4 linked regions of the Arabidopsis thaliana genome follow. The protein of the gene in region 3 interacts with the protein of the main gene of each other region in a biochemical or structural test. Each region holds a gene or a part of one and is shown on either strand. Other genes may lie near its edges. The genes, in order: ETP1, ETP2, EIN2 and ETR1.

Region 1 (6,889 bases), on a different chromosome or scaffold from region 3:
TCCCTTTATCTATCGCTGATTACGCGTCTTATCATTCTTTTGAGGTTGATGCTTGATATTTTCCTTATCTCCAGCTGAAGAGCCAACGCCAACCCCAAAAATACCTAAAAAGAGAGGGAGGAAGAAGAAAAATGCTGATCCTGGTAAGCACTTTTCCTCTTTGAAATGCTTCAGACTCGTTTTCAGAGGATTCACAGATTCTTCCTCATGATACATATATCCTTTTGATATTGTCCTTACAGAGGAAATAAACTCATCAGCTCCGCGAGATGATGATCCAGAGAACCGTTCAAAGTTCTACGAGAGTGCTTCTGCGAGAAAGAGAACCGTGACTGCAGAAGAAAGAGAGAGAGCCATCAATGCAGCCAAAACGTTCGAACCAACAAACCCTTTCTTCAGAGTGGTTCTGCGACCATCCTATCTATACAGAGGTTGCATCATGGTAATAAAAAAACATCTTAGGAAGACTTAATCTTATCGGTGTCTTCACTGATCTCTAAAAGAAGCCTTCTGTTTCTGTTTCTCTCAACAGTATCTTCCTTCTGGGTTTGCTGAGAAGTACCTAAGTGGGATCTCCGGGTTCATCAAAGTCCAGCTTGCGGAGAAACAATGGCCTGTTCGATGTCTCTACAAAGCCGGGAGAGCCAAATTCAGTCAAGGATGGTACGAATTCACTCTAGAGAACAACTTAGGAGAAGGAGACGTCTGTGTGTTTGAGCTGCTCAGAACCAGAGATTTCGTTTTGAAAGTGACAGCCTTTCGAGTCAACGAGTACGTCTGAACAAAGCATTATGGTGTGATCATTCTGGATTTGCAAGTACAATGTCGTGTAGGAGTATCTTAATTTAAAAACAACTAAAAAACTCTCTTCTGGTCTGTGTCATTATTGCGTCAGTGTCTCGTTTTTTCTCTCGGGTTTACTTTGTGTTATCGATGTGGATAAGTTGTTTTTACCTCATTATATATAACCTCTTGAGTGGAACTCAAATTGTTTGAGTAGAACAAACAAAGTTAGGGTTTAAGAAGAAGTCTGTAAATACCTAATCTCCATCAAATTTGAGTAGAAAGACAAACTGTTCTGGTGGAATACAAGGAGGGAACTTGAGATAACAAACTTAAGAATAGCCTTCAAGCCAACGTCTAGAATTTGATGAAGTTGTTGTTTGATCACCTCTGAGATAATTGGAAACCCTCTTCATGCAGTTTGCTTGAGGATACTGGTGAAAATGGGAGTATTGAAGGAAAATGCATATATAAGATTGTAGGTGGGAACTGTGGTAGCAGACATACAGAGGTGAAGCAGTAGATTACATAAGAAAACATCCAGATTCCCAAGGTGCAGGCACCCGCTCTTACAGCTACAAGGTACGGTACGTAATTGGCACATGCTTAACCATGTGATCACCACTAAATTGTGGTTGACTGTTAGATTGTCATGCTGATGTCAGGGGATGCATAATTGAAACGAGAGGAAGATGCAGTGCTGGTCAAAATCCCTGCAGTAAACTCTATGGATCTCTTGCTGATATGCGTGCGTTTATATTTGCATAACACTAGGTTAAACGACAATCAAGGAGTGTAGTATCATGAGTAAACATTTGATATGTTTCAACTTTGGATGCCCCAAAAAAACCACAAGCTTAGCTGTGGTTTTAAATAATTTGTGGGTTATGTTTTGGTCCAATATATGCTAGATTTATGCGAATGGGTAATAATGACTTCTAGTTGTTTGTACAACTTGAAACTTAGGTGAAAAAGAAACTCGGAGCTTCGAACATGAGTTACTTTTGTCATTGAATTAGAAATGGTTGAAGTTTTAGACACAACACTTGTTCTCTAGACATATACTGTACCAGACATGTTTTGATCATAAAACTTAAAAAAAAAAGAAAACCGTGTGTAAATCAAGCAAGGGACAACTACAATATTACAATCTTATTGAGATATCAGTTCAAAGGATTATTCAAAGAACATGAACAAGAAAATTTAAGGGCCTCTTCTACTTCCAGGTCGCTCGATCAGGGGATTATTCAAAAAATATGACAAAAATAAATTAAGAAAAACACAAAAAACTAATATTACATGTAGAGGTTGTTTTAGTCGTCACCTCTTTTTGTTTTGCCTCCTCCGGCTTGCTCGATTTGGACCAAACTTGGAGCGTAATTGAGAATAACTTGCGAAATTCCTTCAAGTGAATCTGTAGCCTCTCCCTCTCCAGAACCTACTTCATCGACTTTATTATCCTCCCCGAGAATGTATATCTTGTCGGTGATCTTGTACTCTCTCCTGCACTGGTACCTGTGGTGCTCTTGCGGTTCCAACCATCTCTCACAACACACAGCGACTTTCTTATCCTCGTCAAGCAAAAAATTTACCTCCTCCGAAAATAATTGAAGATCAGGGCTTAAATCAAATGCTAGGACCTTGGTCCAAGAGACTGCTGCTCCTTTGGTGGTGGTGTCATCAATCTTATTCGTCACCCATATCTCAGTCTTAGATTCAAAATCGAGCTGCAACAACAGAGAAAGATTCTCTCCTCCTCTAACGGCGGAAATACTCAAAATTTCATACCTTGGACGCTGATAGGGAAGAGTCACACATAGAGATGATTTCTCTGTTGAGAAATCAAATCTGAGCAAGGACACGCCAAGATGGGGTTTTGATTTCTCCGAAGCAAACAAGTAAAGATTTCCATTCATAGACACGGTCTGCTCTGAGTATATCAAGGTCCAGCCTGGAGTGAGATCACCATCAGGAATCGTCCTTGTCCACCTATCAGAGTAGTTAAGCTCGTAGATTTCTGTATCTTGGCCATTAGGATAAAAACACAAAATTTTGTAGATTTTTTTACTGCAGGAATTGTTCTCGTCTTGCTGGTAGCAGTATCCGAGAACAAATCTGACTTCGTATTCCTTCCAACGATAGCCGGCTTCGATCCACCTGGTTTGACCAGTCAGCGGGTTCCAAACCACGATTTTAGATCCGTATCGGGGATTCTTGCCTACGTGGTTGCATACCAATAAGCCGTCGCAGTGAAAGACTCGACCTATATCGAATTGATGTGAATAATCCGGATCTGGTAGGCTAAGCTCTCTCTTTAACACTACAGAAGGAACATCTCCTTGGAGATTGATGCTCACCGGACAGATCCTGTACTCGCTTGTCAACATGAGAGGTAGATACTCCTTTGGGGCTTTATGCATGTGCTCTCTTGCGAATCTCCTATCATCTTTGAATAAACGGTTCCATCGTTTGCTGGTAGATCGTAACCGTTTCAGATTCCTCGCCGGAACGCGACAGAGTATCTCATCGACCAAATCGTTACAGAGATCCGGTATCGTCATTGATCTCTGCCGCAGGCGCCACGGAATATTATTTATTTTCTAGGGTTTTGCTTTTCTTCAGCTTTCCTCTTGCGAGATATATACATAGACTGGAAAGAGGAAATGTAACAAATTGCTCCCTCAATTCTGAATATATTTTCATTTTTGCACCCTCAATCTTGTTTTCTGTAGATTCTATATTTGTAAATCAATACACACACGCTATGGAAAACCAAGGATTCAAGAGAATATTTTTTACACTAGAGAGAATTCAGACAGAAGGGAATCAACATTATCGGAAGTAGATTTTGTCCAAGGAAGATCTATCAGTTTACGCTGACGTGTATGACATTATTACTGTACTTTAGATAAGTAGGACCGGCCAAATATGCTGACGTGTAAAAAAAAAAAAACCACCTGGCCAACACGATAACGATTCCAAGTTTTTTTCACCGACATCCGTACCGGTCTATCCTCCTCCGCCTTCCAAAATCAAGGCAAAATCTGTGAATATCGGATACAGTTCTGGAGGGATCAATAGTTTAAAAAGCGTATGGATTGTCAGCGAAAGAATCTCTAGTGTTTTTTTTGCTTTTGTATAATCTGAGGTGGGTTCGTTGAGATTATCTGATCAAATGATATAGAGAGAGCTGTATGTTTCTGTTCTATGTTGTTAGAATTTTGTTCATAATTTTCGGATTAGCTTTTGAGGTTGATCAATGAAGCAGTAGACATCGCATAGGCGACACCATAGTCCATGTAATTTTTGAAATTAGCAAATTAGATGTTTTATCATCTGTCTCAAACTACCTTGAGGTAAAGATTTCTCAAATACGGGAGATTTGTTATAGGAAAACAGAGATGCGCAATGAATGACATGGGCAAAAGTGGAGTGGAGTGGAGGAATATAAGGGACACGTGACAGAAGCTTATTGGAGTGTTTGTCTAGTATGACAAGTGTTTGTTGTGATGATGCGCTTGAGGATATGATAATTTGTTGAAGACTGAATCCAGTGGTAGTAGCTAGCTCTCACTAGAAAGGGATTTACAGTGTAGGAGTATCTTAATTTAAAAACAACTAAAAAAACTCTCTTCTGGTCTGTGTCGTTATTGCGTCAGTGTCTCGTTTTTTCTCTCGGGTTTACTTTGTGTTATCGATGTGGATAAGTTGTTTTTACCTCATTATATATAACCTCTTGAGTGGAACTCAAATTGTTTGAGTAGAACAAACAAAGTTAGGGTTTAAGAAGAAGTCTGTAAATACCTAATCTCCATCAAATTTGGTACTTGTAGCCATGATGATGATTATGATGAAGATGGGTTTGTGCTGTAGATTCTTCGATATTTATTTTATCTCTTAGCTTTTGTTTCTCCTTCTCTTTGCCTTAATCCATTACAGTATCAGAGTTTGGTGCTTATGAGCTCTGTTTTTCCAGGACCAAGATTTTTGTCCTTGTTGCAACAGAATTCGAAAACCCTAATTCAAGCTAAGCAAATCCATGCTCAATTAGTCATCAATGGCTGCCATGATAATTCTCTATTTGGCAAACTCATAGGCCATTACTGTTCAAAGCCATCAACCGAAAGCAGCTCAAAGCTTGCTCATTTACTAGTGTTTCCTCGATTTGGTCATCCTGATAAGTTTCTCTTCAACACATTGCTTAAATGTAGCAAACCAGAGGACTCGATTCGGATTTTTGCCAATTATGCATCAAAAAGTTCGTTGCTTTATCTCAATGAGCGCACTTTTGTCTTCGTCCTTGGCGCTTGTGCTAGGTCAGCTTCGTCGTCGGCGTTACGGGTTGGTAGAATTGTTCATGGGATGGTGAAAAAGCTTGGCTTTCTATATGAATCTGAATTGATTGGAACCACTTTACTCCATTTCTACGCTAAGAATGGAGATTTACGTTATGCAAGGAAGGTGTTTGACGAAATGCCTGAGAGAACCTCTGTTACATGGAACGCAATGATAGGTGGATATTGTTCACATAAGGATAAAGGCAATCACAATGCGAGAAAGGCTATGGTTTTGTTTAGGAGATTCTCTTGCTGTGGTAGTGGAGTTAGACCTACTGATACAACCATGGTTTGTGTTCTTTCAGCCATTTCTCAGACGGGTTTGCTCGAAATTGGTTCTCTCGTTCATGGTTACATAGAAAAGCTCGGGTTCACACCCGAAGTTGATGTCTTTATCGGTACTGCACTTGTCGACATGTACTCAAAATGCGGCTGCTTGAACAACGCATTCTCCGTGTTCGAGCTAATGAAAGTGAAAAATGTCTTTACATGGACTTCAATGGCAACGGGGCTAGCTCTCAACGGTAGAGGAAACGAAACACCGAATCTTCTAAACCGAATGGCGGAATCTGGGATCAAACCAAACGAAATAACTTTCACTAGCTTGCTTTCGGCTTATCGTCATATAGGTCTTGTTGAAGAAGGAATCGAGCTGTTCAAGAGCATGAAGACAAGATTTGGTGTCACACCGGTTATCGAACACTATGGTTGCATAGTAGATCTTCTTGGTAAGGCAGGGCGGATACAAGAGGCTTATCAGTTTATATTAGCTATGCCTATAAAGCCTGACGCTATCTTGTTAAGAAGCCTCTGCAATGCCTGCAGCATTTATGGAGAGACTGTAATGGGTGAAGAGATCGGAAAGGCTCTTCTCGAGATAGAACGAGAGGACGAGAAGCTTTCGGGTTCTGAGTGCGAAGATTATGTCGCTTTATCGAATGTGTTAGCTCATAAAGGGAAATGGGTAGAGGTAGAGAAGCTGAGGAAGGAGATGAAAGAAAGAAGAATCAAAACAAGACCTGGTTACAGTTTTGTTTAACATAGCTTGTTACAGGTCAGGATTCAAAACACTACTCATTTTGCAATGAAAGTTTTTTAGTTTCATCAAGTCATTAATTAACATTACACAACAAATAAACTTGCAGGTCTCGGTTCTGTTAAAAGCTCTGTTATCCCCTGAAGACTCTCTTGTCTTCTTCTTCTTCTTTAAGCACATGCATTGGATTCATCACATCAAGATCTACACATAGATTAAAAATATTCAGATCCCAATCTTCTTAATCTATATTAAGAACAAAGTCTTCTTACCGTGTAGAATCTTGTCAAGTTCGATGTCTCTTGATCTCTTCTTGGATTTGTGCTCTGTATCACCACCATTAACAGATTGATTATTCTTCCTTGTACCTTGAGTTCCAACAAACTCTTTGCCTGTAATATCGATTATATCATCGTCGCTGTCAATGATATGAACTGCATCCAGTGGATATTTGGTCTCGCAAGCCGAAACATTGAAGATTATTACACGGAAACTCGAATTCTCCTTGTATTCGAACAAGAGAAAGTGGCCTTCCTCGATGGAATGAGCCTCTGCAAACTCACTCCAACCCTCATGGAACCAAATCTCTTCACCGATCCGTTTGAGCTTAATGGAACGCTTGAAACCCGCAGGAGTCTCTAATGTAACAACCTCTGAGAGTTTAGACCCTTGTAGCTTCACGAATCTTGGCGGAATCTTCTGCTCAAAGTTATTCAACATAATGAGATTTTCA
Region 2 (6,582 bases), on a different chromosome or scaffold from region 3:
CGTCGCGGAGCAATTGGAACACAATCGCTGCCGATACGACGAACGATCAGGAGATCAGAGCGTCGGTGGAAGAGCAATCATCACCGGCGATTTCTCGGTTCCGGGAGCTGAAGAGATCGTACTCGTTCGAATGCGAGAGAGAATCTGAATCAGAGAGAGTAACGATGGAGCCAGCGACGGTGTCTCCATGGAGATACCGGAGATCTACATGGAACAAACGTCAATCACCGTTCGGAAACCTAATATCGAAATCAAGAGTGTTCTCGTTCCGTTACTACAGAAGCACGAAATCACCGTTCTTCCGACGGAGATCATCGGCGGGAGTGTTTTACCCGATATCAGAACGGATTCCAGCGACGGGAAGCTCATCGCGGCGAACGAAATCGATGACGAGTCCGATGTTCTTCAGAACAGCACCGCACTCATCGAGCCGGTTAAGATGCGGAGATCCAGAGGCACTGTTATCGCCGGAGAGATGGAGAAGAAGAGACACGTGTAGGGCAGAGATGTAAGATGAAATTTGGACGGTGGTGATGATAAAAAGAAATATTGAAGTGGAAGGAGAGAGCATTAATGGAATGTGGGGTTTAAGCATTTAATGGAATTAAAATGAACGAAACAGAAGAAGATAGAGAGATTCAGAAATTGCTCAGCTGCTCACATTCACAACAAGGTTCGTTTATTTATTACTATTTAGTATAAATAAATAATAACCATACCTTTATTTCTTCACCTCTCTTATTTAATGCTGCTAAAATACGGATTTCATTTATGAATATGATATAACGTATAGTCATAGAGAAATAAATAATTTGTTACTATGTACGTTGAATTTTCCTGACTAGGATACACACTTTCTTATATTACTATGGGTCTCAGACAAAAGACGCCAAGACGATGAAGGTTTTGGAGCCTGTACGACGGCGTTTTGGCTGATGATTCGTTTTTTCCTCTCTTTGGAGTTATCAAAATGCATTAACTTCAAAAGCTGCCAAAGTTATCATAGAAACGAAAGTCAACAACACATTGAATTTCGTTTCTATAATAACTTTACATCGTCGGTGGCTTTACTGTTTTCTGTTACCGAATTTTATGTTCAAACTTTTAGCTGTCGATTTAATTTTTGACCAAATTTTTTTGATGATTTATTACATATTGATGAATAACGTTAACCAACTGAGATTGAGAAGATCTGGATCAATTGCGGCCCTGTAAGAATAAATATTATGGGCTTTTTAGTATATTGGGGTTTAGTAAGAAAAATAGAACAAGGTTTAGGAGATCGCCTGAACGTTGAGGTCATTGTAATCTTGCTGGTGCTTGATCTGAAGCTCATGTTACCTTACCTGGCCGTGGAGGGTTGTCTTGTCCAATCTGGTCAATTGAGGGGATCTCCATACTTGGCTTATTTTACCATACCATGCCTGGCTTAGTGGTAGAACTTGTAAGGTGAATTGGGTGATAGTGGTAGAACTTGTAAGGTGGATTGGGTGATAATTTCTAGTTGTACAACTTGTAACTTGAGTGAAAAAAAGAAAACTCAGAGAAGAGATAGGGTGAAAGCTTCTTACATGTTTTCTGAATCACTTTTTTCATTGAATTAGAAAAGCTTGATTGATACTGAAAGAACATGACAAAGATAAAATTAAGAGAAACACACGCACAGAAAGAAAAGAGATTACATGTAGACAGTGTTTAGTGCCCTCTTTTCCTGTTGCCTCCAGCTCGCTCGATTTGAACCAAACTTGGAACATAATTAAGAATAACTGCCCGACATCCATCCATTTCATCTACTCCAAATCCCACTTCTGTGACAACATTATCCTCCCCAACAATGTAGACCATGTCTTTGACCTTGTTCTCATCAATCAATTTCTCACAGAACATGACGACTTTCTTATCCTCGCCTAGGAAGAAACTTCCATCATTCCCAATCTGAAGATGAGGGCTCAAATCCAATGCTAAGACCTTGGTCCAAGAAACTGCTCCTTTGGTGGTCTCATCAATCACATTTGTCACCCATATCTCAGTCTTGGAACTTTGATCTAGCTGCAATAACACAGAAAGTTTATCTTCTCTAACAACAGAAAGGCTACTAGCTTGGAAAAGACGACGACTCTGATAGGGAAGAAGCACAGGTACAGATTTCTCTGTATAAAAATCAAATTTGAGCAATGATATGGTGCGGGGCCGCTCTTCTGTTACACCTTTAGCGAACCAGTAAGTATTTCCTTTCAGAGACACGCTAAGTTCCGAGTATCCAATACTCCCCCGTGGAGCGATAATATCATCAAGAATCCTCCATGAATCAGAGTCAAAATCGTAGATTTCAAAATATTTGGTACCACGATAATAGCACAAGAGTTTGTAGCTCTTGATCCAGGATCTCTTGTCTTTTTGGTAGTAGTACCCGACATCAAAGCTACGGCCTTTTTGGCGAAAATCGCCGGTTCTGATCCACCTGGTTTCACCGGTTAAAGGATTCCAAACCACGACTCTAGATTCGTCCAATTGGGAGGAGCACAACAACAATCCCTCACAGTGAATGACTCGAGATATTTCGAATGGAGCAGCTGAATTCTTAGAATGAGGATCGATTAGCTCACTTTTAAGCTCTAGAGATGGACTATTTCCATGGAGATTGAAGCTAATCGGAAAAATCCTGTAATCATTCCTTAACGATAGAGATCTAAACTGTTTTGCGGATTTTTCAAAATGCTTACTTGCTAATATCCGATCACCTTTGAATAAACGGTTCCATGCTTTGCAAGTCGATCGTAAACGTCTCAGAGATGTTGCCGGAACGCGACAGAGTATCTCCTCTACCAAGTCATTTGGAAGCTGCTCCTGTATTGTCTTCATTGATCTCTGCTGTTACCAAATCTCTAGGGTTTCCTCTTCCCACAGTTGAGTTCAGCAGTAAAATGTTGAATAGTGAGTGACATGGACCTGATAAGAATCTAACAAGGCCCACTTTAAAAGCCCATATATTTGTGGCAATCAAATTTCCCCTGTTTCGTTCCCATGAGATCATATTGAGCATTGAATTTCTTGTAATAGCTTATTAGATTGAATATATGTGTTTACTTTCTGGAACTACTTGGTAGAACACTAGAACTGTGAAGGTTTTCCTCTGTTGCTAAAAAGACTAGATGCATGTATAACCCTGATTTTAGTGTTACTAACTTGCTAAGAAGCTCTGTTTTTTTTTTTTTACCTTTTGTGATCTTAGTGTTGCTAACTTGCTAAGCTTTGTTATTCCAAACTGAGACATGGTAATAAATAATATAATTTGTGGTCACATGGAATCAGAGTTCCCAACTGGCCATTCTATGTTACTGCTGTTTTTTCTACACAAGCAGGTCCTACCGAATGGACTGGATATCTTGGCCATGTTTACCCAAATCTCAGCGATATCTCTTGCTCCTCTCCTTGCACGTTACAATATATAAAACAAGCCAAGTTGTGGTTTCAAGTAATTTGGGGATTGTTTTCTGGTCCAAATATTTGCAACTTTAAGCTGTGTGTTTGTAAGATATAGAGAAAACACCAATTATACTTGCAACATACCATGCTTGGCTTAGTGGTAGAACTTGCAAGGTGAATTGGGCGATGATTTATAGTTGTAAAACTTGTATCTTGGGTGAAAAAGAAAACTCAGACAAGAGACAGGGTAAAATTAAGAAAAACACACACACAACTTGTATCTTTGTACATGTTTTCTGAATCACTTTAAGTCATTGAATTAGAAAAGCCTGAAACTGAAAGAACATGATCACACACACACACACATACACACACGCACAAAGATATTACATGTAGACGGTGTTTATTTACCTATGTTCCTATTGCCTCCAGCTTGCTCGATTTGAATCAAACTTGGAACATAATTAAAGATAACTGCCCAACATCCATCCATTTCAACAACCCCAAATTCCACTTGTGTGACAACATTGTTCTCCCCAACAATGTAGACCATGACTTTGGACGTGTGCACATCAACCAATCTCTCACACATGATGACTTTCTTCTCTTCGCCTATCAAGAAACTTGCATCATTCCAAATCTGAAGATGAGGGCTCAAATCCAATGCTAAGATCTTGCTCCAAGACACCACTTTGGTGGTGTCATCAATCTTACTTGTCACCCATATCTCAGTCTTGGAACTTATATCTCGCTGTAATAACACAGAAAGTTTCTCTTCTCTAACAACGGAAAGGCTACTAGCTTCAAAACGACGACTCTGAAGACTATGATAGGGAAGAGGCACAAGTACAGATTTCTCTATTGAAAAATCAAACTTGAGCAATGATATGGTGCGGGGCGTTTCTGTTACAACTATAGCCAACCAGTAAGTATTTCCCTTCAAAGACACACTGAGTTCAGAGTATCCAAAGCTCACGCCTGGAGGGATCATATCTTCAACAAACCTCCATGAATCAGAGTTAAAATCGTAGATATCAAAATATTCGCTACGTTGATGAGAGCTCAAGATTTTGTAGCTCTTATTGCAGCAATTGTTGTCTACTTGGCAGTATCCGAGGTCAAAGCTGCGAGCTTCTATGAGAAAATTGCCGGTTCTGATCCACCTGGTTCACCAGTTAAAGGGTTCCAAACCAAGACTCTAGATGCGTCGAAATGGGAGGTGCATAACAACAAGCCGTCACAGTGAAAGACTCGTGATATTTCGAATGGAGCAGCTGAATTCTTAGAATGAGGATCGATTAGCTCACTTTTAAACTCTACAGATGGACTAGTTCCATGGAGATTGAAGCTACTCGGAAATATCCTGTAGTCGTTCCTTAACAATAAAGGTATAAACTTAACATATCTCATAACTAGAAAGTTTGATACTTTGTAAGTTCTTCAATTCATTGCTCACATCAGATGGAAAACAAAGGAAAAAAAAAATAACTAATCCGAATCATGAGTCGTGTTTTCTTTTCAGAGAAGCAACCCGAATCTGAAATCATGTGCAATCCAATCTATAGAGAATCTTCCATGCTTCTTGTTGCGACACTTCTGGATTCTATCTCTTGCTTCACAAGGCAAACATTTCCCAATCATGTCAAGAACACCGACGTTGCAGAGTTCAGTATCCTTGGCATATATTTCAACAAGCTTCGGCAATAGAATCTTGTTGTCTTTGGAAATTCCTAGGTTTGATCTTACATACTCTTCTCTACCACATTCTAGCTCCATCATCACGTTCTTGGGGGTATATATACGAACCTAAAAGAATCGTGTTGCTTTATAACCTAATCCTTCAATATGAATAGCGTGTAAGATAAGAAACGATGTTGAGTCAGGGGATTTGCTTACTGATGGATCTGACAAGCTCCCCGAGCAAAGAGCGAAATGAAGTAGAGACTCACGGTGAGTTATAGCATAATCTCTTCCTAAATCTCCAGCTCTACCCTTTGATCTAGAAGCAAACAAGAACCTAAATACCTGCAAATACGCCAATCCTTATTAGCAGCCCTCATCAAGTTCAATTTTCAGAATCGAAAACAATCATAGACTTGCCAGTCCTGGACGAGAAACACGGCAACCAAGGATTGAAGTCTGAATGGTATCTAAGTTCAAGCTTCGACCTCCAACGTTGTAAGCTGCCTATATTACACAATAGAAAAGCCCTAATAATTGTTTATTTACCGATGACTTGTGTCCCAAGTAGTTCTGCACTGTAAGTAAGATTACCCTACCTTCAGCAACCCAGATACTCTTTTCATACTGTTTTTAGGGTTCCCATAGACAAGTATCGACTGCAAAAGAGACAAAAACAAACCCAAAATAGCTAATTAATATCTAGAGAGATTTGTCACTAATCACAAGATGGTGTTAAAAGAAGTTTAGTTTGAGAAATTAACATTACATGCATAACCAGAGAGTTGTGTATATTAATCCAGAAAGCTAGCTTTTCTTCATGATTTAACTTCCTTGGATTCACTCCTTCTAACTTATTAACAAGCGACCTAAACAATTTTGAATTCAAGAAGAAGTCTACAATTGATTAAATAACATAGTTGCTATATCTAAACTAAAAGAAGTTGATATTGTAAGAGCCTGAGATTGAAAACCTGAAATGTTTCAAAGCAGGTTCAACTGCATTTAACTTCTCTGAGTCTCTACTAATCGATTTCACCATTAATAACTTGTCGTAAGGTCGACTAATGATCTTCAGAGGCTCTTTCCCGCGGAAAGGACTGCTCGATTCTAGATCATTGTCGAGTGATCCTGGATCCACAAGTTGACGACATAATTCTGAGATGCACTTGACCATCTCTTCAGATAAACTATTTGGTGACTTATGAACGTTTTCAGAAACATATGTCCCAATCAACTCATCGATATCAGATTGCTGAAGACATGAAAATGTAAACCACCATTGGTAAAGAAAGAAACTCAAACAAAACAACATTAACTGTTTAACACAATTTCTTTTACCTCAAGCATTGAGAAAGGAAGAGATCGATGATATGATGAGTCCATTGCATGGGGAGACATTCTAAAGGAATAGCCTGAACAATGAGACAACGATGAGTGACTGCGGAATATTCCAGAGTCTTCTACAAGTTTCTG
Region 3 (10,384 bases):
CGTCAGGAGAAAACAAAACCATCATTAGAATCATTTATTAGAAGAACTAACCTGAAATATTCGATCAATAGACTTAAAACAAACTAAACCTGATGTTCAAGGCCACTGTATTCTCCTTCCGTGTTTTCTCTGATGGTAATGAGATCAACATCATCGTAACGAGTTTTGTAACCAGGAAGACTGTAACAAGGTCTAACATTGGCATATAGATTAAGCTCTTTCCTAAGAGTCAGGTTCAAAGAACGGTGACCTTTCCCAATTGGAGTAGCCATTGGACCTTTCAAACCAACTTTGTTTCTACGCACAGATTCGAGACTTTCCCATGTCAAGAAACTCTGTGTTCTCGGATCTATCTCAGTCCCAACATAGTGTTCTTCCCACTCAATTGGTACACCAGCTGTTGTAAACACCTGGATCAGTACAAAACGCAAAAACTATCAACAAAATTGCCGAATTCCCACAAATTATCGTACAAAATTCAATCAAACAATTATCTCGTAACTATGACTTCCAGAACTCGAAATTCTGCGCAGAAAAGAGATTAGGATGAGGGACCTTTTTGACAGATTCGGCGATCTCGGGACCGATCCCATCGCCAGGGAAGAGAGTTGCGGTGATCGGAGTGGTGGAGGAGCAGAAAGCCCTAGCGACAGAACTAGCCGCACCTGAGCTAGAGTTCACGGCTCCAAGGATCTGAGTCGATCGGTTTCCGATCAGCCGTCGCGCTAGATTTGCTGCCATGGTCATCGCTTCAAGCACCAAAAGGACGCAGCAAATGAAAAATTATTATTCGAGAGAGAGAAAGAGAGGACTTTTCTGCGTTGTGGGACAAAAGTTGTAAAAGAAGAAGCGAATATTTCTTCTTCCGTCAAAACGCTGCGTAGTTTCTAGGTTGCATTAGGTGAGTACGGAATTTAAACGGCACGAAGTGTTTCCTTAAACCCCAGGCCCAATAAAGAGTTGTTTTAAAATTGGTTTCAGCATCGGCCCAATTACATCTTATTTAACACACAAACTACATATATAGAACGTTTACGTAATACGTAAGTATTATTACGTCATCATACATACACTAAACCGGCTCCGGTGGCTTCTCCATAGCTTTATGCGGTGGTGCAGGTGCCGGAAAATTAGCCAACGGCGGTCCGTAGTGTAACTGCGACGTTGATTGAATCCCTTCTCTCCGGCCGATTTTTCGTCCGATGAGATAAAAGGCGATAGCGACGATCAGAAGGAGAAGAATCGCCGGGAACGATATGTAGATTACATAACCCATTGGATTAGTTACTCTGCTGGATTTTCTTAGTTCCCCAGAAATTTGAAGGACTTTATGAAACAGTAAGACGTTTCGAGAAGAAATATTGATAAGGACACGTGTCAGTAATCTAGCGTCGATGTGTCAGCTACGTGCAGAGATCCGGTTTAGGAGATTTAACATTTCAAACCGACGATTTCTTTATGATTCCGCATAGAATTACACAAACCGGATTCGGTTTGTAGCTATGGTCCTATGATGATGATATATGTATATAAACATAACATTACAACCAAATTAAGAAAAAAAGAGCGAAAAATTCTGAAGCAACAAAAATCCATTTTTTTTCTTCTTTTCTTAATACACAATTAACGAAGCAGAGGAGCAATCAAAAGCGAGAGTTTTGATTCTTCGGCTTCCCTCTCGACGTCACTTTGATCATGAGATTTCTCACAATGTTCTTCTTCTTCAACCCAATGATCCGTACGCAGTCACGTTTTTTCTTGAACCGGGTCCATCCTGATTCATACCTACTGGTTTATTCGATAACCGACGTTTATACCGCTTCAAAACCGAAGCCAAATTCTCTTTCCCCTTTGGGAAAGCCACATCACCTGCAGCTGTACCGGTTCGGCCTTTTCTACAAGAGATTGCCATTTCAACGTCTTTGATTAGATCAAGAAGTGTGACTGCGGTTGTGCATTTGCCTTTAGCCGGTTTTGCAGCCGGAGGTAACATTCCGTTAGCTGAAGTCGGACTCGCTCTCTGGTGGCTCGCTGGAATCTGAAGGCAAAAGCACGGTGTCATTGGTGTCCGCAGCTTTGAGAACGCCGGATCAATCACTCCCTGTTTAAATCCATACATGTCAATATTTTCAAACTGCAAAACTGTGATTTTCAATGAACTACTGCGGTTTTTGTTACCTGTAGGCGGTTGAGAACGTAAGTGTACTTTCCCCAAAGCTCAGGCCGACTCTCCATGAGAGACAAGTCAAGGACACGGTGAATGCACCAAACTCCAAAGCTCACAATCAAATCAGCTCTCCAAACGCAACCATCTCCACAGTTAGGAACCGATGAAATTAGTGGCTCCCCCATGTGACCCACCTGGTTTATTTCTCGAGCTTCAGCTTCATAGATAAACTTCTCTCGTGCAGCTACCCGGTCAATCAGTTCTTCATCAACTCCATCGCTTTGTCCAAACAACCACTCGGATCCTTCAAGTTTAATAAGCTTTAGAATACAGTGCCTGAACGACTGAAGAAGCTTAGCCTCTGCATCAACATTAGAAGAAGCGTTGTTGTCTATATTGATCGGATTCGATCTATTCCTGAGCTCCTCACCAACAGCACCATTCCTCTCCGCTACACCAAACTGCTCAAAGGGCTGTCTGGACCAAAGCGATCCGGTCCCTGTTGTTGCACTCTGTGGCAAACTGTAGGCATCTCTGTAGCCTCCTCTTGATTGAGAAATGTCATCATAAGTCGAGGGTACTCCCACCCGTGACCCCAAATTAGAATATAACGATGATTCATTGCTTAACCGACCATAAGACGCACCATACCCTCCTCCTCCACTTGACGGATCCCAGTATCCACTCTTGTTGTTTGGTAAATGCATGTTCCTTGCGGACATAGACAATCCTGAGATATCTGGCATGCTACTATATTTTTTCTCATTGGCTACTGCTGCGCCAACAGTATCAGTATTGCCAGAAGATGGAACACCGTAATAAGATCTTTCAGATTGTCGCGATATGCTTCTAGACCCAGCAAAATTCTCAAACCCAGGAGCTGGTCCAGGGGTTAGACCATTCTGGGACTTCTGTTTCAAGGCTAAAGCAAGTTGCTGTGTATAGCTCAATGTACCAAGCGCCATAGATCTCGATGTCGGGATCTCTCCACGGGATTGTAAGGCTTCAAGCCTTTCTTTTGCCAAATTGTCTACATATGACTTCATCTGGTATCCGTGAACTGTAGCTGGTTGTTGGTGTTCCCAACCCTCTGAAGATGATGGAGCACGCAGGCTAGAGTATCTTCTCTCACTCAATTCGTAAGCATTATTATTATTAGTGGTGTTACCATATGCACCCAACATCTGCATACGGTTGACCAACGGTGACGGTGACGAACCTCTTTGTAATCCATACAACGAATCGATACTTCCCGGTGTCCTCTGCTGCTTCAGTGAATCATATAAACTTGAAGTCATCTGTGAATCCATTCCCTTCGCAGTTGGTGACATGCAATATCCACTGCTAATGTCTTTTCCAAACGAATCTGCTTTCATAGAAGAGGCTGACTTTTGATCAGTGCCAAACAGCTGATCTAGTTTCTTTGCCCTGGCTTCAGCAACCAATTGCCCATGAAAATCATATAAATGTCCCCAAAATTCATCAAGGATCGCAGATAAGTGTCTCCGGGCAGCACGTCCCAAACCTTGCAACCGTGAAAGGCTTCCAGTCCCACTTCCCCCTTCCCCACTTAAGCTGCGGAATGAAGGAGGACCATCAGATCCGACAGTAAAGTTGCTTGTAGGAGCAGCTTTGGTAGCTTCTTCTGTTTCCCATGAAACCCCTTCAACATCCTTTTCAATAAACTTGCTGTTATTCTCCATGCTAACAATCTTCTCCACAGGACTCATTGGTTCAATTTTCGCCATCTTTGTTTCAACAATCAGATCCTTATCACTGACCTCATTAACCACTGTTGACTGCAATACAGACTGTTCCTTTACATCAGAGTCTTCCTTAAGACTACTAACTTGAGAGGTAGAGTACTTTACATCCAACTCTCTTTCCTCTGGAGGGCTCGAACGGATTTCTTGATCCGTCATTAGAATGTTCTCTGGCAAATCATAGACCGAGCTAGTAACAGACGTAGTATCCAACTGATCCTTTACCCTGCTTTCCAACCGCACTATTGATTCGTCTTCGTTCCTCCTTGTTTCTGTTCTTTCAATTTCCTCTTCTTGAACAGATGGATAAGATAAAGCATTTTGAGCATCCATGTTCCATATTTGAGCTTCCGCTCTGTTACTCGCAGATTTCAGCGGCGTGGCTGCCAGCCAGAGTATCAGGCATAAGGATGCACATGACGATACAAGCAGAGTGGTGTACTGAATCGAGGTGCCCATCACGGTATTCCATCTCAAACCACCAGCCCAGTCACTGCTCCCAAATACCATCTCAACAACAAAAACAACATTCAACCCCAGAAATCCCAAAAACGTTGTAAGTGCGAGGAACTCGCCAACCTGAGGGATTTTATGGACACCCATGATTTGTCTCGACGAAGCAATGCGGAAAAGCGGTATTACCGAGCAAGGAAGCATCATTGCCACCAAGACCTGGGTGAATATAAGTAACTGGTATATTCCGTCTGCACCAGATGTCCATACACAATAAAGCGCAGGAGCAACTGCAAGAATTCTGATTGTAGCACGATGAAGCCAAGCGGGTATTTCTATCTTCAGGAAGTCATGCAGGACGACCTCTCCACCGAAAGCCCAAGCTAGTGCGGTAATTTGACTAGAGAAGAACAAGAGCATCAAAAAGACCACTGGAATGAGCGGACTCATAAATACCTGTGATCAACAATCAAGAACAAGATAATTAATAATCACGAGAGATTTCTGAACATTTTCCCTAAAAATGAATTATAGACTAATACGAACATAAAACCGTCAGAACAAACCTGCTCCATTAGTGACAAGGCATCGTGAAAAGTCAGTACCACAAGGCCAGTACTGTGAAACACATTAGCTGCTGCATTCATCAATACATAATTTACAAGTGACAGTCCGCTGAAGACACCAAAGATGGCGAACAAATGGTCTTGACACAAGCTGCTCTTGTCGACATCAGACGAAGATGTACTTTCCTGTAATAGAGCGTTCACTGCTTAGTATAATTATTGCTTCTTAACAGAAAAGAGAGATACATATAAAGAGAAAAAAGGTACCCCAGCAAAATAAGAATGGATATAAAAATTGTGAGGGACGATGCTTGCGCCAAGAAGACCCATCAGTGCGAATGCGCTCTCTCCATTTAACCGAGTTAACACTCCATTCATAGAGAGTGGGATCTCAGACTGACTCAGCAAGACGCCAGATACATAGAGAAGTAATACCAGGCCTGCAGAGTAAATGGATACTGTATTTGCCATACCATTTTCCTGTCAGAAATTGTATGCATGTCAGCTAATTTCCAATAATGCTATTTCAAGAACGTGGAGAAAAAAAACAAGACAGGAAGACCAGTCATACAAGGAAAGAGGCGAAAACAGGAAATAAAAACGCATCCATGGCGGCCAAAAACACTCCAGTGGATAACTCCACCCCAAACAAAAGGTTAAGTGCATGCGCAACTCCCACAACCTGTTTATAATAGAGAAGCTCAAGTCAGAGGAATCAAAATTTTATCACATAATAAAAAAATTAAGAACAGCAAAGATTGTAAGTAACTACCATGGTAAGGTCGAGCAGAATTGCTGAGAACTCCGCCTGAATGCCCAAGAACATGCACGTCCACTTGTCATATTCTTCATTGCAGATCTGTCCCAGTAAAGAACATTAAAATGTTAGAAAAATAGAGAAGGTGGTTAGTAGAATTCCACTTTGAGAAAGTGACAAGACAACCACAGAGCCCAGTTTGTTATTTTAAAAAGTTTGTTCTTTAGAGATCAGAAAAATGTTTACCTGAGCCAAGTGTTTACCAGTCACAACGCTTATGCGAGCTGCAACATATTGGCATAAGATGGCGGCAAAATTGAAAAGCAGAGTAATTGCCACCAAGTCATACCCGAAACGAGCACCTCCTTCGATATTTGCAACCCATTTCCCGGGATCAATATATCCGACAGAAACCAAAAGGACAGGAAGTAGAGCAGGAACCATTCTCTGGATAAACCCTAGCTGAGGTCTCACATTCACAATTTCAGCTTCCATCCTAAATCTATCTGATAATATAATTACTCAGAGTAGGATTCAAGGTCAACTCTACAGTCGTGGTTCACTAAAAGCCTCAGTTGAGTAAAATTCACAGATTTGATCTAAAACACCTTCCCTCGCGAAATCTGATTCCCTCCAAAGCTAACACACAACAACGAATCAGTCGGTTCTTCTATCACCGAGGCAAACAAAGCCACTCTAACGCTTACTTGTTATACAACTCTGTACAGTCTTTCTTTACCTAATAATAGCTGAAGTTTCCTCTAGTAACCAGATGTTAAGTTAAGGACCAGACCTTCTTCTTATTTGCTGCTTCAAGGAGAGAGATCATACAACATTCAGCTAAGTTGGTCCAAATGGAGGAAGCCCTAACAGAGCAACCAAGAGCAGAACATAGACTTCCATATGCTTAACCACTACGGATATCTCCAAACCATTCGAAATCAGCTTCAGACCTGAATTTTTTTTTTATGGTGAAAATCTTCAGATACAGTAGTATTACAAATCAATAATTGATCTTAGTATGAAGCAGCAACAAAAAGAAGATAAGCTCAAAAAAAATACAAATTTCAACTAAACTGAAGCTAAAAGAATCGTAACGCTGACGAAAAGCAACAAAAATGCAAAGATCCCGTATGATCTACGCATTCAGATCTTCAAGGAAAAAAAAGGTCAACCACAAACCAAGTACAGTAGTAAAAAAGAAAAAAGCTTAAATCTCGCAATTAAAACAAAACCCAGAAACCGAAAACAATCCCGAAGAACTCCAAGTCTGGAAAGTCCAGATAATGAAGAGGGAGAGAGATCTAAGCTGAAACTACGAATTCGATCCACCTGATGAAATTATAAAAAGCTGGAAAAAAAACCCAGAAAGTCTCATTTGCGCAAAAGCCGAGGGAAAAGCTACAAAAACCCATGAAAGTCCGTACAAAGCCCCCCAGCAAAATAAAAAAAAAAACAGAGGATTAGGGTTTTTGAAAGAAGTCACCTTCGAAATCGCCATGATCGCAAGTTGACCTAACAACAATAGTCTCAGTGAGAGAGAGAGAAACGGATCTTCAAAAGAGAGAAACTCTTATCAAGCTACGAGAGATAGAGATAGAGAGAGAAAAGAAGAGGAAAGAGAGAAAGAGCTCAGTTCCATCGAAAGAGAGAGATAAAAGAAGATCGAAAAATCAATTATATAAAATATTTATATATAAAAAACGTATACATACATATTTGTATCTATAGGTCTGAAGGTTATGGGTGCTCGTGCCACCTTCAAAGAGAGAGAGAGAAAAAAAAAATTATTACTTGTAAATAACATGTAAAAATAAAGGTATTATTCTTTTTTTTCTTATAGCTAAAAAAACGTCTTTTTAAATAAATTTTCCAGGTTTAACATATAGTTTCTTTAATCCATCTTTATTAATCTTTTTAAACTAATCGTAGTTTATTCCATGGACGAAGAAGAGAATTATTATTACTTTAAATTTCTCGACCCCTCTTTCTCCTCATTACATGTAATAATAATACATCAAACAGCTTGATTATGGAGTTTCAAATGGAGATTATTTTACTTGATTTTGTGAAACGCTAGCTAAATTTATTTTTGTACTTTTGATTTGAGTAATACAAAAATGTTGTTTTCTAGCAATTTTTTTAATTTTTATTAAAAATTTAAAGGGACGGTTACAAAGCGAAAAATAATATAAACGTGACTAACTTTAAGAATACGAACAAAAAATAAGGAATCAAATCTTCTAACTCGCAAAAGATTACATGTGTCGAGAAGATTTGAAATTTTTTGTTACATTCGAGAAAAGTTTACGCGATTCTCGCATACTATAAAATTCAAATCTTAAACAAATAAAATTGTTTAAATATTGTATATATAACTTTTGGCTACCTTTTTATTAGAATTAAAATCCAAACATAATTTAGATCTATTTATCTTATATTAGAGACCAATGTCTAGGAATTTTTTTAATGATTTACTTATTTTAGTATTAAAACAATCTTTAAAATTTTACAAAAATACATGAATAGGTTCTATTATACATTTCAGCGTTCTGCAAAATACTGAAATTATAATTTTCCTTTTGCATAAATATAATAAAAGAGAAATCAAAAACTTTATTTGAAAATGACGTTATTTGAGAAAACTAACTAAAGTTGATGATACAATTAGGCGTTATCAAAAGCTGAAGTTGTTGACTAACGAAAATGGAAAAATAAATGAAGGCGTTAGTACCATAAATATGTAAAATCGGAAATGAGAACAGGATTCGACATTATACTCCACAGAATGCTATAAATAATACGTCTTTATATAGCAAGTTTTTATTTATTCTGCTGTATATGTATTAGACATCAATATTAATTGCATAGAACAACTATTTGTCAAAAATAAGAATTCATGGCCTTCCCTCAAATAGAAAAGAAACAAAACAAAAAAAAACATTTTGTTTTATTTGTCTTTTGATCTCAACTAAGAGCTTGATTTCATTAAATCATCATTGAAAAAACAAATACACTCTACTTTTAAACTAAACAAATATCATATACGAATTTCCATTTTATACAAAATATGTAGTTGGATACAAAATAATAGCTAGATTTTGTTATCACCAGTTATAATAAGTCATTAAGATTTGTCAATAGATTCCAATAAATGTATCATTTTACTAACGAAGAAACAGTTACTATAGTTAGTTAACTGAATCATATTTTAGTATGGTTATATTGATTGATCAAACCATCCTTAACCGAACTATCCAAATCACAAAATCAAACCCAAAACCAAAAGAAGAAAACAAATATAAATAGAATTTCTACTATTTTTGGTCAAATATAATCCACGTGTTCCTAATCATCTCCTACATCAATGGAAGTACAGCTTGGGCTTTCGATAACCATACATTGTACCTTACTATTTTTTCCAATTTGATTTCTTTAGGCTTTTTTTATGTAACTTGTCACTATATATTTAACATACTCAACATTATCCATATTCTCTTGTGAAAGTATATATACATGTACATTGGATAGGAAGCAAATTAAAACACAAGAAACTAAAATTTTGCATCAATGAAAGGAACATGGGCTCCTCTCAGTCCTATGTTGATGTATATGTTCAATGAACCATAACATAGAGACCACACTTGTTTTTTTATAACACTATAAATATATATAGAAACAATATTCTTCAAGTACTTTTGAAATAACACATACGAATTTTTTTATCCGTACCGATGAGTAACCAACACAATTTAAAAGTTTGACTGAATAAAAAAAGTCAGAATTCTTCAAAGAGTCAAGATAGTCATATTTCAGTTACATATGGAATGTATAATGATATCATACAAATAAGTTCTTTAATATGTTTTGACTAATAAATCAATTTCAGTTATTTAGTTTGGTCATAAGGAAGTTTTTTTTTTATAAAGTCTCGTTGATGTTGTTTGGGCAGTTAACCAAAAAGGGAACAAAGCTACATGGTACAGATCATTCATCAGCTTAAAGAATCTTTCTTGTCGATCTTTTTTTAACTAGATTGTGATCTTTTGGGCTTTGTGTCCAAATATTTATTTATTAGTACTATCAATCTATTAATAAAATGGATTTTTGTTAACATAACCTTTCATTAGTGTAAGGGACAATTTAAATTATTTTCCTTCTTGGTTCACTGAATCTCTCTTGGGCTTAAAACACATGGTGGGTGGGTTCATAAGAATTGGAGATTTGAAAATTTTAGTAATTAACCTCGAAACATGAGACGTCAGTTACAAATCAGAACTCGTTTATTGTTCAATTAATTGGTTCGATTCAACAAATGTTTTCGTTTAATCAAGTGGGTTTTCTTTATTTTTGTTCTTTTTTTAATGTATGTGAGTTATTACGTGGAGACCAGAAGAATAAGATCGAATCGGGGATGTTTTAGGAGGAGACATATGAATTTTAAGTAACTTAAACAATTCGAGATTATGTAATGATTTTCTATAATTAAAGATTGCTTGGCTCAGGACTTTAGATCGAAAGTTGTAGCTCAGACAAATGTTTTTGGTAGTAAATTGAATCGATTTGATCTACACATTCAAACCAAGAAAAATTGATTAGTAATATAAGTGGTAGCTAGGTCTTTCAACAACCAAGTGTTGCAATCGATATTAGTGTTTAGGTTGGCCCAACAAATAAT
Region 4 (8,294 bases), on a different chromosome or scaffold from region 3:
TCTATAAGTTGACTTTCATTTTTCTGTGGTCCAATACATGATCGTTGGGTCATTGACCCAAGATACAAAATCAAGTTTTCCCAAGATGAAGCTCAATGGAGCTTAAATTCATACAACCCAGACACCCTCCTAAACCACCCGGTTTGAATCATCTGACTGAAATCATCTCATTATAAACTCTATCAGCATTTGTTTTATCACCAATTTTCTGAAATGCCTTAATCAATGCGTCATATATATCTGCATTAGGCTCTATCAACCTCTTCTTCATAATTTTCAAGTACTTTTCTCCGGCTTCCACTTTACCACAAGTGCAGAGTCCCACAATTAGTGACCTAAACACCTCGAAACCAGGAGACATCTTTCGGTATTCCATCTCGTAGAACAGCTTAAGCGCTTGATCGATATCGTTTCCTTCTATAAACCCTCGAATCAGATGAGAGTACGTATGTTCATCGGGCACAAACCCTTTATCTATCGACTTTGTTAAGATTTCATTTGCGCGATTCACGTTCTCAATCTTACTTACACTCTTAACCATCTCATTGAAAGCCGAACAACTAGGCATAAGCCCTCTCGTTACCATTACCTCACAATACTCCAAACCTTTCTCTTCCCACCCGAACCTCGCGAAACCACCGATAAGACAATTAAACGTCTCGTCATACGGACTGACTCCAGACTCCTCCATCTCACTCAACAACCTCTCCGCTTCTTTAACATCACCCTTTTCACAACAAACTCTAACAAACACCGTATAAACAAACGAATTCGCACTAAAACCTCGTTGAAGCATTTCATCAAACACCTTCCGTGCAGACACCAAATCACCTTCCTTAGCTTTCGCATAAACAACAATCGAATAACCAATAGTATCAACAACCATATTCTTCATCAACAATCTCTTCAACAAACTCATACTCTCCTCTATTCTCATCTCTTCCAAAACCCTAAACACTAAACTCGTATTCACAATCACTGAAGGTAAACATCTCTTACCACAAATCCTATCTAACAAATCAACAACTTCTTTCAATCTCCCTTCTTTACACAACACTTGAATCATTATCCGAATCGTAATCTCGTTCGGATAAATCCTTTTATCAATCGCACATTCGTAAATCCTCCACACAAGATCATCAATCTTCGATTTCGAAGAGTAATGAATCAACGTGTTTAAAGTAATCACACTAAGAGTAAATCCACAATCACACAATCTCTTGAACACATCAAACCCTAATTCCAAATACCTAATCTTAGCGTAACATTGAACTAACAAATCAAACACTAAAGGAGTAGAAGATGAGATCTCATAAGTATCTAACAACGAATCGACTAAATCCGAATCGGGAGGAGAATTTAACAGAGACGATTCAATTAAAGCTCGAGCGTCGATTAGTAATCGAGCTTTGACAAGGATATGAATCGTCAATGCGTAAGATTTGATTCCGTGACGGAGATTTCGAGTGTGGGATGACCAATGGAAGAAGGATAAAGCTTGTTTGGCGGTTTCGGGGTTTTTGAATCGGAGAAGGATTGTTTCGATTAAGGAATCTGATAGATCTATGGAGGAGAATTTGGTGGAGAGAGTTTCCCAGGTATCGTTGGATTGGAGGGATTTGGAGATGTAGTCGATGAGGATTTGTTGTTGTTTGTTTGGATTTGGATTAGTTTTGGAGGAGAAGGAGAAGAAGCCATGGATGAGTTTTGGAGATCGGGTTGATTGAGAAACTAAGTAACGCCATTGTTGTTGTTCTACTAAGCGGCGCAAAGCTGACGCCATAATACTGCATCAATGTCATACATGCACGCAACAAGCATCCATAACTCGATCCAAATTCTTATAAGAATGTAACTACATATATAAGGATACAACATTAGTCAAACATGTAATCTGAAATGGTATGATTATACCACCACCATCTTGTTCCTCTATAACCGAAATCGCCACGGACACATACCGGTTTAGAGTTTCTATTTTGTTATTCCCTTTCTGTTTTAAGATATCATCCAAAACGCTCCGACAATCTCTGATATGTACACAATTAAACCAGAGAACATCAGCTTCCGATGTTTTACGGGAGAAGAAGGCGGGAGCGGAATTACTCCTCTGGGGCATGGGGCATCCATCGCCTTTACATGCCCTCGTACAGTACCCGGGGCTCGAGAAGATCAGACAGAACATCTCTTATGTTGTCTAGTGATACGGGTTTGAGCAACACACCGTCTAGACCAAAGCTCATGCATTTCTCTTTTGTGGATTTGTCAGTGTTACCACTGAGTGCCACAAGTAGTGGCCGTTGGTGGCGTTGTTTTGTGAATTTCTCGTGAATACGGAGAGCGATTTGGTAGTTTTCGACCCCGGGCATGCACACGTCCATGAAGACCACTTTGTGCTCATGGGACACAACTCGGAGACACTCCTCGTTTGAACTCACCGTGGTCACTTCGCACCCAAGGTGTACAAGAAGTCCCTTCGTCACCATTCTACTTACCCTGCAACCAAAATAATCATCGGTTTCTCATAAGATTAAATTTGCGTTTTTTCTAAACGCCAATATCTGCATTTGCAAGAAGTAAGGCGAGAGATTTTGCAAAGAGAAAGGTGAGAAGCTTATACTAACCCGTTCTCATCCATGACAAGAACCTTAAGTCCAGTGAAATTTGAATGTCGGGGAATGGCTGGAACTTTCGGTATGCCCGACTGTTTAGATTCGTTTGAACGTTCTGAGATCCCAAGTTTAACATCAAAGATAGCCGTGCATCCTTTTCCAAGACCATCGCTCTCAATCCAAATGTTACCCTCCATCAGATTCACAAACCTTGTCATATTAAACGCTTATGAGTAAACTTTTAACAACACAGAAGACAAGAAAAAGTTGGAAAAAAACGTCTTTTAATAAGGCTCAAACCTCTTGGAGATGGCGAGGCCAAGCCCACTACCACCCGAGCTTCTCGTCGCTAAAGATTGTGTTTGAGCAAATTTAGTGAAAATCTTTGGAATGTCTTGAGGATTTATTCCTGCTCCAGAGTCTTTTACCTATATTTGAATAATCATCAAAATTAAGACCTAAGAAATACTTTCAGCTATGGTATAAGATCCCAAGATACAAGATAATAACCTTCACTCTCAAGTAGAAATGACTCCCAGTTGGCACGACAAAAAAGTCAGCAGCTCGTGTGTCTGACTTGGTGACAAGAGCGGTTACGGAGATACTACCTTGTTTGGAGAATTTCACAGCATTACCAACTATATTTAATATTATCTGCATTAGCCGTTTCTCATCCCCAACAACAAATTCTGGCAAATCTGGTGCAAGATTTAGTGTGATGGGTAATTTCTTAACAACCGCTATAGGCTTTATCAGATTGAGGACCTGCAACAAGATTCAATATGACAATCAAGTACACAAATAGTATAAACTTATGAAACATAGAGCTGTTCAAAAGTTACCTCTCTAAATAATGTATGAAGATTGAATGTCCCAAGTTCAAGTTGAAGACTTCCATCTTCTAACCTTGAAAGATCTAAGACATCATTCATCAAAGTTGCCAAAAGGTTACTACTTTTAAGTATTGTTTCCACCATCAGTCTTTGTTCAGGGGTTAGTTCCGTTTCTTGGAGTAAGGAAGAGAGTGCAATAATCGCATGCATCGGTGTTCGCATTTCATGGTTCATAACCGCTAGGAAATCATTGCGGGCACGGATTGCTGTTTCTGCTTCTCGTCTAGCTAGATCAAGAGCAACATTCTGCTCCATGAGAAGGTCCCTAGCTCGCATCGACTCTTCTAGGATCGCAGCATGTGAGAGAGCTACAGCCACCTATAATAAGAGAAGAAAAGTTATAGACAAGATCATGAACATAGCAAAGAAGAGAAATTCTCAGCAATGTAAAACCTGATCAGCGACGACTTCAACGAGTTCCAACTCATGGACATGCCATTGCCTTGCACTATCTGAAGGAAGCATCAAAACCATCAAAGCATATCTCTTTGTTGAAAGCTCAGGCCAGTCATTAATCTGAAAATTAGAAAGGTGGAGAAGCGGAACCCTCACAGCGACCACCTCCCCTAGCATATATTTCCCAGAAACAGGTCTCAACCTAGCCACAGGAGAATTAGGAGATATTTTTACAGCCCTACTAGTACCAAACACTTGGTTAATCACCGGTAATTGAATAGGAACCGTATACTCCACGGGATGTTGATGACGAAGTGTATAAGAAAGCTGTAGCTCTAACCCAGTTCTAGTAGGCATCCACAATGCACACTCCTCCAAAGCTAATGTCCTACCAAGCTCAACAAGTGTAGTCTTTAAAATAGTATGTCTATCTAAAGTGCTTCTAATCTCATGAGTCAACATTCTCACATGCCTTCCGGTTTCTTCCTGAGTTCGAATCAATCCCATTTCTCTATCGAGCTCAGCAGCTTTATTTTTCAAGAAAAGCTCCCGAGTCTTAACACTCAAAAGATCAGGAATAATATGAACAAGCATCAACGCAGTAGCACACGAGACAACAGCGGTTAACACCTTCGCGGTAGTCATCACAAGCGCCACGGTTCTCGAATGCGTAGTGAAAGTCCATAAGTTAATAAGATGAGTTGCTCCACAAAGAACGATAAAAGCACCAAACTGAACAAGTACCCATCTATACGGAAACACGGCTGATTTCTTCACAAAGTAAATCAACTCAAGAGGAATCGAAAAATACGCAATCGCAATGAAGAAATCGGAGATGTATTGGTATTTCATTAACAATTCATCCGCTGGCCATTGCGGTTCAATACAATTGCAGACTTCCATTATGAATTTTTTACACTATAGTTCCTCTCTCACACATACACACACCTGTGTAACAAACACATAGCATTATCAACTTCGATTTACGACGAGAACGTAGCGTAGACAGATCATGAGCATCAAAATTGCTATAAATTCTGAAGAATCGAATTCGATCACAACGATTACGAAAAAATAGGTTGCATATTTCAGTCTCGAGAACAGTAAAATTCGAATCCGAATCATGAAATTAACGATTAAATCTTAATTTAAAGTTCCTAATAACGATGCATTACACTAGATAAAGACCAATTAGGTTAATCAATCTCTATGATTTGAGATCGACGACAACAACAGAAGAAAACTGTGGAAGTGAAGAATATATATAAAGAAGTCACGAAACAATCTGAGGAGAGAATCGAGGAAGAAGAAGCTTACTTGGGAAGAATTGATCGGAGAAGAGGAGGAATTGGGGATTTGGGACGCGGCGGAGAGCGACGGAGAAGGAGAAAAGGGGAGCGTTGAAGCTTTTTTTCAAGTCAAAATTGGTTGGGTTTAACACTTCTTCTTCGTTCTTACTTTTTTTTTCGACGTCATTTCTCTAATTTTTTTGTTATTATTATCAGATGTTTTTTTTTAATAAAAAAGGGTAATATAGCTGGTGGGTGCATGAATTTGTTCATTCAAATATCTTATGATAGTGTAATGACGTAATGTAGATAAAGGAATAGAGTAAAAATGGTAAGAAAAATACAGATAATATAGGATAAATATCCCCATATTTATCAACAAATACTATCTTTATGGTTTCACCAAAAAATGCAAAATATTGTTTTCACTAACTTTCACCTTACATTGATTCGTATGATTTCAAAAAAGGAGAATGATAATGTCATTTGGAGATTAAGCAATATATATGTTTAGCCAATATAAAATTATGAGTTTTAAGTGTAATCTTATGTAAATAATCGTTTGTATAAAACATTATATAGTTGTAAGAGAAGTAAAACAAGTTGAATCAAACAAATATGTTCATGTGAATAAAAGCTATATTATGTCAACTTGGAGATATATCAAACTACTAATGTTATATCTGGTTAACTGTAATATATCTCCAAATTGACATAATATAGGTTTTCAGTACCTCAAAACTAAATCAGAGTTAACCAGAAATTTGATCCTAAACCAAAAGTATATTAAGCAATTATATAAAATTATTACATTAGTTTTTTTTGAAATCAATCCTCCGAAAAATGTACATAAGACCTTAACCAGTCAAATCAAAATCCAAACAAAACTAAATTTCATCGATTCAATTCTCAACCAACGTTTATGTCTCATATATACTAGTGTTGATTACTTCAAACTTACAATATGGAATCTTAATATATACCTTCAAGATGATGGCTCTAATCAGCCTATCTCGAACTGAATCTCATTTTAAGATCAGTATTAAATCTCAACACACGAAATTTTGATACATACAGTAAAACCTCTATAAATTAATACTCGATAAATTAATAATCTCTATAAATTAATAAATTTTTTCGGTCCCGAGTTGGAACCACTGTAAAAAGTGATACAAATCGATAAATTAATAAGATAATAGTTTTTTTGAAAATCTTATATAAACATAGGGTCCCATTAATATCATAAATTACAGAGAAATATAATTTTAATATTGTTTTTTTTTTACTTAAATTTGTATAAGTTTTTTTTTATTTCATTTTAATATTTTTACTCTATCAAAAACTTTTCTTGTTGTTTTCTAGACATGATAATTATTTCTATTTGTAATTGGTTCTAAAAATATATTTTAGATAATGGAATGAATCTTAAATTTTTATAGAAATTAAAAAAAAAATTACCACTTTTGGAAAATCTCTCTGTAAATTAATAAATATTAATTTATCGATAAATTAATACCTTTATAAATTAATAGAATTTTGTGGTCTCAACATTATTAATTTATAGAGATTTTACTGTATTAAATTTTATGGATTTCCAAATTAAATCTAATTAATAATAAATAGATTGGTGTATATTCTTTATATATAAGTGTTGGTCCTTCAATTTAAAATAAGAATAAAAATCGCAATACCAAAATATATGGATTGAACCAAATTGATATTAAGGGAAAGAGTGGGGCCAATACTATAATGACCAGAGAATCGAAATAGAAAGAAAACTTAGGACATGGTTGGCTCACACTGGTCCACAAGTAACTCTTGTGGTTACAATTTTCACTTCTAATCCCATAATTCTCCTTCTTTGTCCTCTTCTTTCTCCCTAAAATCCTAAATCCTTCTTTGGATTACTCTTCTTCTTCATTTCTTCCCACAAGGTTAGTCTCTCTTCTCTATCGAATCTGTGTTCTTCACTGTTTCATCTCTCCAATTCCCAATTTTTCCTTGATGGGCTTTGTCTTAAAAATCAATACTTTGAGTTTGATTCAAGTGGGTAATCTCTACATTTAAGCAAAATTGTATCTTTATGTCGTTCTAAAATCGAGAATTTTATAAATTTGATGCCTTGATAAGTTTATCTGAATCAATTTTGATATTTAGGTTTATCTCAATGGCTCTTAACGTGAGCAAGGTTGTTCCCAATAGTCCAATTTTAGTTAAGAGTGTTAATGCTTCAAGATCTCGAAGAGTTCTGTTGGCGTATGTTCATCATCCTTTAGCTGCTAATAAGGGTTCATCTATTGAAGAGTTAAAGCAAGGTCTTTGTTGTACAAAGACTGTCACTTTTGTTAGTTCTCGGAGATGTTCTACATTGTGCTTTGTTGGAAAGTCTCAAGACACTGAAACTAAGTAAGCCCTTTTAGTTGTTAGCCTTTACAGATCAAACTGGTCTGGTTTTGTTTCATGCTTAGTTATAAGTTTCTTGTGTGATGTGTTGTTAGTTCCCAAGTTGTACAAAAAGAAGGTGAGAAGCAAGTGATGCCGAGGAGGAAAAGTAGTAACTCAAGCCAACTTTTGGTGGAATATGTGTCTAATGATGCTAAGTTTGTGAATGAAAGAGCTCGTAATGACTTTGTTCTTCTATCTCGGTAATTTTCCGCGTATCCAACGGTTACAGAATCTAGAACTTATGCATTAGTGGAGGTTTCTTATGTGTTGAGGTTTGTGTTTTGCAGTGGTATTATGAGACTTGATGCTCGTGCACGACAGGATGTTGCCATTCTTGGTTCCGGGTTCCTTAAACTCGATGGTAAGATTTGTTTCTCTTTCACGTTAATATAGAATTCTTTTATTGCTTCCTAACCCTGCCTTTGTGTGTTTATTATGTAGCTCGGGCAAGAGAAGATACAGAGAAAATAGACCGTGATGTCAAGAGAAAAGCCGAGCGCCTTCATCATATTGCTACTGTATGCAGCTTATTCTTTCGTTGATATATGCACATTTTCTGACTACTCTTCTGGTTTTGTTGTCATCTTATTTGGTTTTTATGTCCATAGATATTTAAAAACATAGCTGAGTCTAAGTTGAAAAATGCCGCTGATAAGCAT

Evidence for each region.
Region 1: the proteins of EIN2 (region 3) and ETP1 form a complex in vitro, tested with the Arabidopsis thaliana proteins (one study listed by BioGRID).
Region 2: the proteins of EIN2 (region 3) and ETP2 form a complex in vitro, tested with the Arabidopsis thaliana proteins (one study listed by BioGRID).
Region 4: the proteins of EIN2 (region 3) and ETR1 form a complex in vitro, tested with the Arabidopsis thaliana proteins (2 studies listed by BioGRID).

Annotation. Positions count from the first base shown.
Region 1 is NC_003074.8:6,542,969-6,549,857, reverse strand, and holds ETP1 (EIN2 targeting protein1), read right to left. Parts: upstream 3,659-6,889; 5' UTR 3,345-3,658; coding exon 2,097-3,344; 3' UTR 1,766-2,096; downstream 1-1,765. Other genes in the region: VRN1 (AP2/B3-like transcriptional factor family protein), read left to right, coding at 75-143, 243-442, 533-771, 1,204-1,306; MEF20 (mitochondrial editing factor 20), read left to right, coding at 4,741-6,159; AT3G18960 (AP2/B3-like transcriptional factor family protein), read right to left, coding at 6,290-6,360, 6,429-6,855. UniProt on the Arabidopsis thaliana protein: Negative regulator of EIN2 protein stability.
Region 2 is NC_003074.8:6,518,040-6,524,621, reverse strand, and holds ETP2 (EIN2 targeting protein2), read right to left. Parts: upstream 3,054-6,582; 5' UTR 2,863-3,053; coding exon 1,696-2,862; 3' UTR 1,561-1,695; downstream 1-1,560. Other genes in the region: AT3G18930 (RING/U-box superfamily protein), read left to right, coding at 1-512; AT3G18915 (uncharacterized protein), read right to left, coding at 150-204, 333-571; AT3G18905 (F-box/associated interaction domain protein), read right to left, coding at 3,830-4,417; AT3G18900 (ternary complex factor MIP1 leucine-zipper protein), read right to left, coding at 4,945-5,232, 5,323-5,451, 5,527-5,613, 5,706-5,765, 5,876-5,975, 6,081-6,361, 6,448-6,582. UniProt on the Arabidopsis thaliana protein: Negative regulator of EIN2 protein stability.
Region 3 is NC_003076.8:784,406-794,789, reverse strand, and holds EIN2 (NRAMP metal ion transporter family protein), read right to left. Parts: upstream 7,363-10,384; 5' UTR 7,193-7,362; intron 6,660-7,192; 5' UTR 6,202-6,659; coding exon 5,953-6,201; intron 5,809-5,952; coding exon 5,722-5,808; intron 5,632-5,721; coding exon 5,521-5,631; intron 5,430-5,520; coding exon 5,217-5,429; intron 5,136-5,216; coding exon 4,950-5,135; intron 4,840-4,949; coding exon 2,179-4,839; intron 2,102-2,178; coding exon 1,724-2,101; 3' UTR 1,386-1,723; downstream 1-1,385. Other genes in the region: IDH-V (isocitrate dehydrogenase V), read right to left, coding at 90-410, 556-747. UniProt on the Arabidopsis thaliana protein: Central factor in signaling pathways regulated by ethylene (ET) and involved in various processes including development, plant defense, senescence, nucleotide sugar flux, and tropisms.
Region 4 is NC_003070.9:24,731,208-24,739,501, reverse strand, and holds ETR1 (Signal transduction histidine kinase, hybrid-type, ethylene sensor), read right to left. Parts: upstream 5,341-8,294; 5' UTR 5,219-5,340; intron 4,850-5,218; 5' UTR 4,805-4,849; coding exon 3,899-4,804; intron 3,824-3,898; coding exon 3,455-3,823; intron 3,378-3,454; coding exon 3,123-3,377; intron 3,041-3,122; coding exon 2,913-3,040; intron 2,823-2,912; coding exon 2,625-2,822; intron 2,497-2,624; coding exon 2,136-2,496; 3' UTR 1,784-2,135; downstream 1-1,783. Other genes in the region: AT1G66345 (Pentatricopeptide repeat (PPR) superfamily protein), read right to left, coding at 149-1,783; AT1G66330 (senescence-associated family protein), read left to right, coding at 7,358-7,596, 7,689-7,835, 7,923-7,996, 8,077-8,153, 8,244-8,294. UniProt on the Arabidopsis thaliana protein: Ethylene receptor related to bacterial two-component regulators. Acts as a redundant negative regulator of ethylene signaling.